Linked DNA regions of Arabidopsis thaliana. The protein of the gene in region 2 interacts with the protein of the main gene of each other region in a pairwise test. Each region holds a gene or a part of one and is shown on either strand. Other genes may lie near its edges.

What was found. The genes of interacting proteins can lie anywhere in the genome.
Region 1: the proteins of CAK4 (region 2) and AT3G21140 interact in a protein complementation assay, tested with the Arabidopsis thaliana proteins (one study listed by BioGRID).

Annotation. Positions count from the first base shown.
Region 1 is NC_003074.8:7,408,490-7,415,343, forward strand, and holds AT3G21140 (Pyridoxamine 5'-phosphate oxidase family protein), read right to left. Parts: upstream 3,969-6,854; 5' UTR 3,598-3,968; coding exon 3,337-3,597; intron 3,119-3,336; coding exon 2,921-3,118; intron 2,813-2,920; coding exon 2,710-2,812; intron 2,354-2,709; coding exon 2,274-2,353; intron 2,194-2,273; coding exon 2,116-2,193; intron 1,997-2,115; coding exon 1,905-1,996; intron 1,804-1,904; coding exon 1,692-1,803; intron 1,564-1,691; coding exon 1,438-1,563; intron 1,321-1,437; coding exon 1,207-1,320; 3' UTR 932-1,206; downstream 1-931. Other genes in the region: AT3G21130 (F-box and associated interaction domains-containing protein), read left to right, coding at 1-860; BBX32 (B-box 32), read right to left, coding at 4,224-4,901; MNS2 (alpha-mannosidase 2), read right to left, coding at 5,640-5,891, 6,027-6,197, 6,277-6,357, 6,493-6,594, 6,687-6,795.
Region 2 is NC_003070.9:24,891,696-24,898,151, forward strand, and holds CAK4 (CDK-activating kinase 4), read left to right. Parts: upstream 1-2,827; 5' UTR 2,828-3,079; coding exon 3,080-3,181; intron 3,182-3,267; coding exon 3,268-3,566; intron 3,567-3,641; coding exon 3,642-3,750; intron 3,751-4,632; coding exon 4,633-4,758; intron 4,759-4,833; coding exon 4,834-5,069; intron 5,070-5,145; coding exon 5,146-5,320; 3' UTR 5,321-5,564; downstream 5,565-6,456. Other genes in the region: LIG6 (DNA LIGASE 6), read left to right, coding at 1-128; SGA2 (ASF1 like histone chaperone), read left to right, coding at 891-999, 1,299-1,414, 1,488-1,853.

The DNA.
Region 1 (6,854 bases), on a different chromosome or scaffold from region 2:
TTGATCTATCTGCAAAGCTAACAGGTCAATTCAGCCTAAAAGATCCTCTTTCAAATTCTTTAGAGGAAGTTGATATACGTAACGTCTTTCACTGCGACGGCTTATTACTATGCAGCACCAAAGACAATAGATTAGTTGTTTGGAATCCATGTTCAGGTGAAACAAGGTGGATCCAACCTAGAAGTTCCTACAAGGTATCAGACATCTATGCTTTAGGTTATGATAACACATCCTCATGTCACAAAATCTTGAGGATGGATCGATCTGAGGACCGTATCCCAATTCAAACTGAGTACCAAGTCTATGACTTTACCTCTAAATCGTGGCTAGTTGATGGTGTGGCTGGAGGCTTGTTCATACCAAGTATTGGGACTCGGAGACGTGGCTTGTCTGTGAAGGGAAATACTTACTGGCTTGCTCTTACTGAAGACGGACCGCCATTTGATATGTTCTTATTATGTTTTGATTTTTCGACTGACGGATTTCGACGTCTGTCTCTTCCGACGGATACTCCTTGTACTTATTATGATGTGTCTTTATCAGTGACTAGAGAAGAGCAACAACTTTGTATGTTTAAGAGTCATGGCTCTGAGTTATGGATAGCAACTAAGATGGAGAGTACCGGAGCCATTTCATGGAGCAAGTCCCATCGTTTTCACTTTAGAATTGATGAGATGACTGTCTTGGCTGACCAAGAGAAGCCCGTTTTCGTGTATCGCTTCAAACCCAAGTCCAACATGTTACACATTGTGGGAGAGCATATATACATCATACAAGTGGATCAGCATAGTGCAGATTCTAAATGTCCATATCTCCTTACTTATGTTCCAAGTTTGGTTCAAATCCAACAAAGTATCTAAAAGTGTAGTTTTCTTTTAAGAGGCTAAAGGAAAGTACTAGAGCTAGTGTGATTTATGATTGTCCCACTAATTTATGTAACGATTTTAAATATCGGCTTGAAACCTTCCAGAAATATATCATTAACGCTCTAATATTGTTCATTAGAAACTCAGATATCAACCCCATATTTCCAGATTGACGTTTTTTAAACCTCCAATTTTGATACTCTACAAAAGGGAGGTCAAAAGATAAAAGAAAGAAACTACAAAATTTCAGCTAGTCAAGAAGAAGAAAAGAGGAACCAAACAACATTTTATTGGTCCTACTATTTTAAAAGGACCCGTATAAAGTAGCAAAAGGGGCTTGTCATTTCTGCAAATTCAGCTTGACCTTCTCCAACACTTTCCATAATGCAGACTTAGCTTCTTCTAGTGTCTCAACACCATGACCTTCCTCAAATGCTAGCCTTTGTATGTTAAACTGCAAAAAAACAAAACAAACAATTGAACAAAGAAAGATAAGCTGAGAAGCACTGTGCATGATCATAATTGTGTCGACATCAACTGGACAAAACTAATTAATACAGTGTTATTTTACCTGAGCACCTTGACGAACCCGTACATCTATTCCTTTGCTATCTATTGAAATGAGAGCAGCATCGTCTACCTCTGATTCAGTAGACAGTAGCTCTCTCAGCGGTTTCGAGAAGATGGCATTTAGTTCCTATCAGAAGTTTTAGGGAAAATACGTTAGAGCACACTCGAATCAAATCCAGCTTACAAAAGGCCAAGAATGAGGAGCAAGTTTATTGGAGTCTCTAAGGCGACCAACAGGGATTTGAAACAACGCACCTTGAGGTTCCGCTCACCACCATCAACAGCTATCTTATCTGGTTGTAAACCTTCATACTCTTTGACATCAACCCAAGCGACCGTGCCAAAGCCTCCAATGAAATATATATCACTGCCAATTGTCACATTGAGTGTGGAGTGGATAAGTAATAGGAGACAAACAATCATCCGACAAGTATTGGTAACTTGGAAGGCACAAGTTTTGGAACAAACCTTATGTTCTGCATTCTAAAATAATGAAAGTTTCCCCATTGCTCTGAAGGCCCGTGCGGGTGCTTTGCAATATATTGCTTATGGGCCCACTCCTACCAAGCCACAACCAGAGATATTACGAGCCATTACTCAGACATACAGATGTTTGGCTGGTGAGATTCATGCATCGACAACCATAAATAGAAAAGGAAAAATGTAACTAGACACCCACCTGTTCATCCTCTGACAATGGGTACACATCACCAAATAATGTCACTCTTGCATTCGATAAGCCACTCCATCCGGGTATCTGCCAGCCAAATCAACGGTTACATAACATAAAGGGTAAACCTTTTGCTCGTATAATTTAAACACAATAGCCAATGTTACCTGAACAACGAGGCTGCATCTAGGTTCATTCAAGAGATTTCGTGTGTGGATGGCCAGCGGTGAAAACAAAAATATTGGATCTGATAAGAAAAAGTAGAAGCCATTCAAGAAATGAGCATCTATTGTATCTCAAAACATTAACTGTACCATTATAATTCAGTATTGCCTTCAATACACAGATACAAAAACACTCCTACATGTACACCTCTAATGAAATTTAAGGAAAAGAGGGAAAAAAACAACTTTGACTTCACTTCCTACTATGCGTTCCCACAAAAATCAAATCAATTTTACAGTTAGAGGAGTTATGACTAAGAACCAATTGTCGACTAGCAAATAATTAAACTGATACTCTGAGAAAAATTGAGCGTGCAACAAAAGAAGACACTGTAGAACTAGGAGCAGTCAACAAAGAAAGAAAGACTCAGTGACTTACGCCCCATCCGATCAGGTGCAAAATCTACCAATGAGCCAAATGGGTACCCTTCCCTGCGGTGGTGCATTTTGGACATCACTGTGCACAGATGAGCAAACCTAGCCTTGAATCATAAAAACACAAGACAAGACAGATAAAGAACTTAAATAATCTTTTCTCATTGAAGTAAAAAAGGAAGAATACAAACCATCTAAAGGACAAACCCTTTTACCTGTTCCAACAAGTTCCGTACAGCTAAAGCAGGCCGAGGTAAAGCATGAGCTGATGTAGCATTTTGAACACCACCAGATATTGGAGTTCTAAAAAGCCCAGCTCGATTTCCTCCACCACCTTGAGGATGTGCAAGAGATGCCTCCACATCGATTACACTATGAGAAGTTTCACCATTGCTATTACTCCCGAGCTTTTCCTTCACACAACATTACAAGCTATTAATCTCTATGTCAAAGCAAACCATTACGTGGTATCATCTTTCCGCTAATCTAAGATTCGATTCTACACAAACTCTGCATCAAAACCAAAGTTTTGTGTCCAAAATTGTAATCTTTTGCTGAATTTTTGCATACCCAAAACAAAAGTTATAATCTTTAGTTGAATTTATTCATCACAAGACAAGAGAAAAAGTACCTGTGATAAAGAGAAGATATCCCCAGGAAAAAAACCAAACCCATTATTATCTTCACCTTCACTTGGCGTCTCGTTACGTAAGAGAGCTTGTATACGAAGCCCGTGACTTGATCCATTACTGAGTCTCAGCTTCGGGAATTGCGTTTTGGGTAGCGAATTACAAAACCAACACGAAGACTGGGAAGAAGTGGGCAGCGGAGATTTGAGGAGAGGCTTAGTCTGTAAATTGGGTGTGTGTGTTGAAGTGAAGAGAGCTTCCATGGTGGATGAGAATAAGATTTTGGTTGAAGAGTCTTCTGATCTTTCACTATAGGCAGATGCTTCAGGCGTCTTTGTTGAAAGTAGCTTTAGGAATTAGGACTTTTCCAGAGTAGGGTTTGTATAACACACACATACATATAAGGGTTTTTCTTTTTCTTTTGGCTTTTTTTTTATAGTTGGATTACGATTACTTTTGTCCTTAGGAATTACTTTTGATGTATTTTCTATTCTCTTTTGTTTTGTTTTGATGTTGATAATAACGAATTTTCCTTGAAATAAGAAAATCAGTTTCTTTTCAATTTACAATTTTTATTGATAATAACATAATATTCTAAGAAATTATCTTTGTTTAAAAAAATTGGGAAAGAAAAGATTTCAATTTCATCTCAAAAGAACCTGATAATGACTATTGGATTACCATTATTCCGTTTCTAAAATCTTCTTACTGTTGATTAAAAAAATTAAATCTCCTCTAAAGAAATATCTATCATCTCAATTGGTTCAGACCATTTTTAGTTTACGTTGAAAAGAAAGATCAAACAGATCAATGACACAAACTATAATTAAGGCACTAAACACTAAATGTCCTAATTTGCATAATGCGGGACCCATGTCAATAATATTTCTCAAACGTTGTCGTTTTCAGCCCATCCTTCCTCCGAATCCACGCGCCACCGTCTAAGCTGCTGCGTCATTGCACGCGCCAATTTGCTTTCAACCGCTCGAATCATCCCAGCTGAAACTCCAGTCACATCTTCTACTTTCTTTAAATTCTGCCACGTCGTCGTGTTCTTAACGCCGAACCAAAACGCCGCCGCTAAGAACACTCTCTTCGTCGCTCTTGGCCTCGTCTCCACAGCCAAAGCCAAAGACGCATATGAAACGACAGCGTTTGTTAAATCCCTGTTTAGTCCTAACTTACCACACCAATTTACAAAAATGCCATCCGCCACCGTAACCGCAACGGCCTTGGCATTCACTCTGTTTTCCCTCCCTCGCGCTCTGTTTACGTCACGCGTCGTTGACGATAGCTCGGAGCTTGAGACACAGTCAAGAGACGAGCAGCAAGAAGAAGACGACGATTCTGAACAACATGTTGTTCGTGGAGGCCAAGGAAGAAGAGGACCAGAAACGAAATTTTGAGTAAGAGATTTGCAATTTGGGCAGATGACACGCCGGAAATGACGAGCGAAGAGAAAATTTGAGGCATGGAACTTAGCGTCACAAGAACGGCAGAGGAAGGCAGAGTCCGCGGCACAATGGAGATCAGCTTCGGCACCACAAAGCTCGCAAAAGCTCACCATTGAGTCGATCTCTCTGATCACCAGAAAGAAGTGAGAGAGAATTGGTTTGGAATGATGATGGTGGGAAGAGAGATTTAAGGAAGAGATGTAAATGATTGAGGGAGAGAAAGAGCGGTGGAGTTTTTATGGTTCATGGTTGATGAGAGTAGTCTCTTCCACAGTTCACACATCAAAGAAACTTACATGAGCCATAATTTTTTAGGGAAATGAAATGAATGGTGTTTGTAGAATTGGAGAGAATGACGTGTCGTGAGGTTTTGAGGCTGGTGAGATTATGTGGTCATTTTTAAAACTATTACACTAGCCGCCAAGTCATTCGTCTTCCTTTTGGTGTGACGTGGAGATTTAGTCAACACTAATGTCTTTTCAGAGACTTGGTCTCATTGCAAATTGCTTCTTCTTCTTTTCTTGGTTGCTTCCATTACATTTCTTCTGCATTGTTGCAGTCTTTTATATAAACTTTTATACATTGATCTTTTGTCGAATACAAAACAGAAGATAATACTCTTAATTTATAATCTAAGGAGTAAGGATACAAAACACAAGGTGTAAACTGTGGTGAACCTGTTTGGGTTCTGATCCCAACTAGTACAACAATAGTCTATATCTTGAAATCTTTCCAAAAATGGTTTCTTAAATAAAAGGGTCTTTGAATAGCCAAGCTAAATCCAATTGCTCTGTTAAGATATATCCATAGAGCCCCTCCTACGAATCACACTGTGACCTCTCCAGGGAGTTTTACTTCTTTGTTATCCGACCATAATGCCTCTGGCGTATTCTAAATGCCGGTTTTCGTAGCAGTACTTTGTTGGATTGTTTGAGATTTACCTGATCGTTTCGAGACTTAATCTTAAGTGGATGAGCTTCGGTGTTGAATACCCACTCGTCTAAAGGAATGACTGTTGTCGGCGAGAAGAGTAGATAGAGATACTTGAGTGTCTCTGCAAGGAAGAAACTTTGCATCTTGTTGTCCTTAACGCCTGTATTAACCTGGAAATGATTGAAAGAAATAAGAATCTACCATCAGTTACACTCAATTACTAATATAGATGGTGGAATGATATAATTCAATTCACCAAGGTTTTAACAATGCAGGATCTAATTAAGCGCCTACGGAAAACTTACATCCTTCAAACCAACATATCCAGACTCTATGCGCGAGTTCTTCTCAAATGCTTCAAATATATTCCATCCCCACTCTTGATATGTCTTGTTTCCAGTTAACCGCCAGAGGTAAAACAGTGATTCGACAGTTTCTGGTCTCAAGATGTTCCACGACGTTCCAACACTCATGTCCTGAATCATCATGTATACTAAACAATAAATAACGCATAAAATAAACAATGTGTTTGAAAAAGACAGGCAAATGACATACACTCCCAGAGTTGAAGAAATAATTCTCCCCAGCCAGTTTTGTTGGAGTTGATTGGTAAAAGTTATAACATGTCCACGCAAGCTGCAAAATATGTGGAAAATAGCAATAAAGGCTATATCTCAGCAGCCTAAATCAGAAAAGCAGAGAGCGAAAAATTCGAAAGATCTGAAGCACTTACGACGCTATGATCAAAGATCATTCAAGTCATAAGTTTACCTCTTCAGCGAGTGTGAGAAACTTCTTTCCTTCAGCAGGATCACTATACCCAGATGCTCCTAAAGCCAACATTCCAGGAGCAAAGCATGCCAATTCATCCATCTTAATATATATGAGAAATAATGAGATTGGAAATGCCAGGCGATGAAGAATTTTCACGTAATACAATGGAAACAATGAACAGATGGGTTTACCTTATCGATCAAAGAATTTCCACTCTTCTCACAGATATATGTAAACGACAAAGGTGTTGATTTCTTAACCAAGCTTAGCAGACCATTCATTGACTTCTCCCACATATCTCTGATGCCAAGATGTCAAGTAATAACAGTACAAATTATTATTGTTCGGCTAAAGATGTT
Region 2 (6,456 bases):
CTGTTAGGTTTCCGAGATTTATCAGTAAAGTGACAGATAGAAATCCTGAAGAATGTAGTACGGCTACAGATATCGCAGAGATGTTTCATGCTCAAACCAGAAAAATGAACATCACTTCTCAACATTAACACGCTTCCTATCTGCTTTTGGTTCGTTTAGACTTTTTTTTTTTTTTTTTTTTTTGCTATCAAGCACTTGCAAAGTTGCAAGGGTGTTTAAATAGGAACCTAACTCACAAAATATTTTTTGTGGTTTTTAATCTGTAGGTAGAATGTGTAAATATTTCTACCTAGAACTATGTGAATATTTAACCCATCTGTATATATTATCTATGTGCGTCACTTTTTCTTTTTTGATGTCGTAAACACAAATGGTAACACTGGTAACAAAATATTGAAAGATAGAAAAAAAAAAAAGTATATAGGATATGATTGGTAATCTCTTATTTGTGTCACTAATCGATTGAATTCTATATTTTTTTCGTATTTATGTGTTGGACACTAAAATTATCAAATATTTAGCAAATTTCCCTGCTGCATTTCGTGAGTTAAAGTATTCCTCCCGCCAATTCAACTTAACCGGTAGTAGCCGGTCACCATTCCAACGACAACCGGTTATAAGAAAGCCATCCCCAAAATTGAAAACATTTTCATCGTCTTCTTAATCAAAAAAAAAAAAAAAAAAAAACTCTGAAGCTTCTTCTTTGATTAATTCTCTCCTGGGGAAAAAAAACCCTAGCTCTTCCTTCTTCTCTCTTCTCTTGAATTATCTGCTTTCGAATTTTTTGAAAAGGGAGAAACTTTTTCATCTGGGTCTCTCTCTCTCCCGAGTTTGGATGAAGTTTATTGAAACCTAGGGTTTTTCTCCGACTTGGTTGTTGATTAGAGATAATGAGTGCAATCAAAATCACCAACGTCGCTGTATTGCATAATCCTGCTCCTTTTGTTAGCCCTTTTCAGTTCGAGATTTCTTACGAGTGTTTGAATTCTCTCAAAGACGGTAAAAATCTCCTCTTTCTCCTTCCCCTGAATTGTAATTCATCTCGACTTTATTTAGGTTTTAGTCTCTGCTGATTCTTATGGATTGTTTTCAACACCAATTTGTTGCTGCTGATTGTAATTGGAACATATTGTTACCTAATTGCTTTGTCAGAGTCATGCTCTAATGGTTTGTTTTCTAATTGATAATCTAGAGTCTTGTTGTCTATTAGTTGGATTTATCTATGCACAAGTTCTTGGTTAACATTGTTATAGGGTGAGGATAACTTAGATAGACCCGTGCTTTTGCTTGTGGTACAGATTTGGAATGGAAGCTTATCTATGTAGGCTCAGCAGAAGATGAGACTTATGATCAACTTCTAGAGAGTGTGCTTGTAGGGCCTGTTAATGTTGGCAACTACCGCTTTGTATTTCAGGTAACATATGCACTACTACCTCTTCCAAGCACCAACAAAGTCTTGGTCTAACTCTCTATTACTACTGTTACAGGCTGATCCTCCGGATCCATCAAAGATTCAGGAGGAAGACATCATCGGTGTTACTGTGCTATTGTTGACATGTTCTTACATGGGTCAAGAGTTCTTGAGAGTTGGATATTACGTGAACAATGATTATGAGGATGAGCAACTCAAGGAAGAGCCTCCAACTAAGGTTTTGATTGATAAAGTTCAGAGGAACATACTTTCCGACAAACCTAGAGTTACTAAATTTCCTATAGATTTTCATCCAGAAGAAGAGCAGACTGCTGCTACTGCCGCTCCTCCTGAACAATCTGATGAACAACAACCTAATGTCAATGGTGAAGCTCAGGTTTTACCTGATCAGTCAGTAGAACCAAAACCTGAGGAATCATGATCCTTATACCAAGTCTAGTTGAAGAAAAGTGGATGAGAATTGAGAACTATTGTCTCCACAGATGTTGCGCTTTGCTTTTCTGTCTTTCAAAAGCATTATATGCTGTTTGTTGTACTTAATTCTAGAGGCTTTAGGGAAGTGATTCTTGACATTTTTGTATGTTTATGTTTTGGGCAAAGGTTTTTTAAATCGAAGCAAAGCCAACAGTTGCCAAACAAGATTCTGAGTTCTGATGGTTGGAATTTGGTAATAGGTGTAGAATAACTTCCCTAGATTTTCTCAAGGTACAAAGCGACATTTGATCTTCATCATTTGTTGAAAAAAGTGCCGTTAAATGGTCATAGTTAGCATTGATGATGATGATTATCATCATCATCAACCATAATTCTTTCACCAAAAAAACATGAGTCCGTGATTTTTTTAGGACCGTTTCACAGTTGTTCTGCCAAAAATATGAGTCCGCATTTATTCACCAAAAAAAAAAAAAAAAAAAAAGTAGTACACATTACAATTTCTCGCCTAACGATTTTACTCTGTGGTAAACCGAAAGATAGTTAAAAACGGCTCCATTTCGATTACTTTGAAAAAAAAAAAATGTTTGTTTTGTTAAAAGAAAATATCTTTTAAAATATTAAAAAATATTTTATTCAAACTTTTATTAATACAGATCTAATTACTAAACTCAATAACATTATAAAAGCCGTGTTCGGCTAAGCCCAGTAAGCCCTATATGTTTTGAATAAATACGATATTTTATAATAAACAGATTGTTGTTTTTAAATACCTAATAATACATAATATATTCCTATACTTGACAATAACGAATAAGAATTATATTACCTATTATTTTGGATTTCGTAAAATTATTTTATATTTTTTTTAGGTAAATGGTAAATTTGTAAAAAATAGCTACTTTGATATTTATATTGTGTATTATTTTCTACTCGATAAGATTAATCATCAATAGTTCGAGGTGGAGGGTTAAATTATCTAGGGTCTGATGATCATGTAGAATCACTTCCTGCAAACAAATCACGAGTGTTAGCATATTTATGCTATCCACAGTATCATATGGCTGTTTCTGATTATTTCATAAATATAAGGTTCGTTTCATAAAACACAAAATCTTACGGGTATAAAATTGAAACCAAAGAATTCAATTTCTTAAAAGTGTTTCACTAGGAGCCCTCGTACTTCCTCGAAGTGTACCGGAGAATCTAAACCCAATGTCGAAATCCGGCGATAATCAACCAGTTGATAGATACCTCCGCCGTCAAATCCTCGGAGAAGGAACATACGGTGTCGTTTACAAAGCCACCGACACAAAGGTAAAATCAAAAACCCTTCCCGATTTCGTTTTCAATTTCATCAAGATTTTCAAACTCAACAATCTTCGATTTTGTGATTTCCTTAGACTGGGAAAACTGTAGCAGTGAAGAAGATAAGATTAGGAAACCAAAAGGAAGGAGTAAATTTCACAGCTTTAAGAGAAATCAAGCTACTAAAAGAGCTGAATCATCCACATATCGTTGAACTCATTGATGCTTTCCCTCACGATGGAAGTTTGCATCTAGTTTTTGAGTATATGCAAACAGATTTAGAAGCAGTGATTCGTGATCGTAATATCTTTTTATCTCCTGGTGATATTAAGTCTTATATGTTGATGACTTTGAAGGGTTTAGCTTATTGTCATAAGAAATGGGTTCTTCACAGGTAAGAAGTTATGCTTAGGTTTATAAAGATTTGATTTTGATTGTGTTGATGGTTTGTTTTTGGTGTGGTTGTTAGGGATATGAAGCCGAATAATTTGTTGATTGGAGAGAATGGTTTGTTGAAGTTGGCTGATTTTGGTTTGGCGAGGTTGTTTGGGAGTCCGAATCGGAGGTTTACTCATCAGGTATTGATGCTATGATTGATACGGTTTTGAGCTTGGTAGCTAGGTTAGTGTAGTTCTTGATGATCTTATTGGATTTATTGGTTAGGTATTTATATAGTTATTGATATTTATGGTTGCATTGGTAGCTAGATTAGTCTGGAGTTTGTAGTAAATATCTTGGTACTTCTTCTTGATGATCTATTTTGAATTTTATGCTCAAAATGAAGAGTCGGTACAGAGTATTGAGAAGATATCATACTTTATGTGTGTTTGGTTTTGGTGAGGTGAAAGATTGTATTGACATTTTTTTACCCTAGAAGATTCTGAGATTGATTAGTTATGAAGAAATCTCTTCTATTTTTTGTTTGAATTGACAGGTAGATTAGTCTTGTTCTTGATGATCTATTGGTTTTTTTTTGCTGGGACAAACTAAGAGTATATATAGTGCATTGAGAAGACATACTATGTTTTTAATTCGAATGCTTGCATACCTATGTTATTGGTTTCGGTTGGTGATTACAAGTTTAAGTTTCCGGATAGCATTTTGTTGATTACGGTCATATTAACATTTTGACTCAAGAAGATTCTGCAATTGATTAGTTCTGTAGAAGTCTCTTTTTGCTGGATATGGAAAAATTGATACAGAGTATTAAGAAGACATCATACGGTTTTAATTTTGATTCTTGCATACCTGTGTTTTTCGATTTTGGTGAGATGAGAGATTGATGGTTCAAAGTCACCAGATACAGTTTTGTTACTTACGGATGTATTAACATTGTTACTTTAGAAAGATTCTGAGATTTATTGGTTGTGTAACTTGTGTAGATATCTCATTTGGTTAGCTATTTGTATCTGCTTGTGGAAGATTCGTTAAGTTTAAATTGGTTATACTTATTCACACAGGTATTTGCTACATGGTACAGAGCGCCTGAGTTACTGTTTGGGAGTCGACAGTATGGAGCAGGAGTTGATGTTTGGGCTGCAGGCTGTATTTTTGCTGAGTTACTACTTCGTAGACCATTTCTTCCGGTAATGCTCTATACCCTTCGTACTTCATGTTTAAAAAGTCTGTAGTTCTCTAAACATTTCCTATACTTTCTTCAGGGTTCTACTGAGATTGATCAACTTGGAAAGATCTTTCAAGCGTTTGGTACTCCAGTACCTTCCCAATGGTCTGACATGATCTATCTCCCAGACTACATGGAATTCTCCTATACACCCGCTCCACCATTACGTACCATTTTCCCTATGGCAAGTGATGACGCTTTGGATCTTCTAGCAAAAATGTTCATCTACGACCCACGTCAAAGGATCACAATACAACAAGCTTTAGACCACAGGTATACTCTTGAAAAAGAAACCCACGGGACAAAAATTCTGTTTCATCACTCTGATTATCATTGGTTTTTTCATCAGGTATTTCTCGTCTTCTCCATCACCAACTGAGCCAGGGAAGCTTCAGATTCCAGCTTCCAAAGGAGACGCACTCGAACCAAAGGCCTCCGAGCAAAACCAACATGGAAATAGCCCAGCGGTACTGTCTCCTCCTGGTAAAATGAGGAGAGTGATGGGTCCTGAAGGATTCACTTGAGAAGATGATGTTTCATTTCTTTTGGAAAATATCAATGGATATGCCCAGAAGATTTCAAAATTAGATTTTTACCATTGATAATTCAATATTAGTTAACTATCAAAGAGAAAAAATTTAAAGCCATAAATGTCCTTCTTAGTTCTTACTTTGTTTAATTTACCAAATATGTCATGTATCAACTATTGTTATAATTTCACTATATATCAACTATCTTACCATATTAATATAAATATTATTCAGATATTTAATATGTTAGCACGTTATATTCAGTATAACATGTTATTATAAAGTTAAATTGATTATTTCATATTAATTTGTATGATATGGTAAATGGTTTAATACGATATATAAAAATTTATCGTGATACTATACTAGTTAACATATTAATCAAATAGTTATATATATTTAGCACGATACTATACTAGTTAACATGTTAATCAAATAGTTATCCACATAAATCATAAATATTTTATGCAATCCAATGATAAATACGACAGTGTCGTAAATTTCGGATGAATAGTGTCTTCAGGCAGTTGATGAACAGTATCATGTCTAAAATATCCGGTAATAAATAGTGTTTTGAGACAATGACATATTTAGTAAATTAAACAAAATGAAAAAGGAAATTTATGATTTTAATTTTTTTCTCTTTCATACTTACCTAATATTAAACTATCTATAATAGATATCTAATTTTCAAGTCTTCCAGGCATATACATTAATATAGCTCTTTCCTTTTTTCCTTTCCTTGACTATAATCACTAATGGAGAGGTATATACAGTAATGACTTTAATTTCTAGAATTGCGTTTCGTAATGCTTTTCTACAAAGTAGTTACCATAAAAAAATATCAAACGAGAAGCCATCTTTTGACCTCATCCATGTCTAATATCTATTGACGTTAAATTCCTTCGAACCTTAAACTGATAAAAAAAAATTATCTTCAATAAACTTAAATTTATGATATAACACTGACCGAAGAAAAAACTAATTTTTCTAAAGAAAACACATTTAATGTTTAATTATAATTGCACTAAATTCTCACTCTAAACATTTTTCCATGACTATGAACCAATAATAATTCAAATATATGTACACGTGAGTGTCTTAATCAGTGGTTGATCATATTCATATTG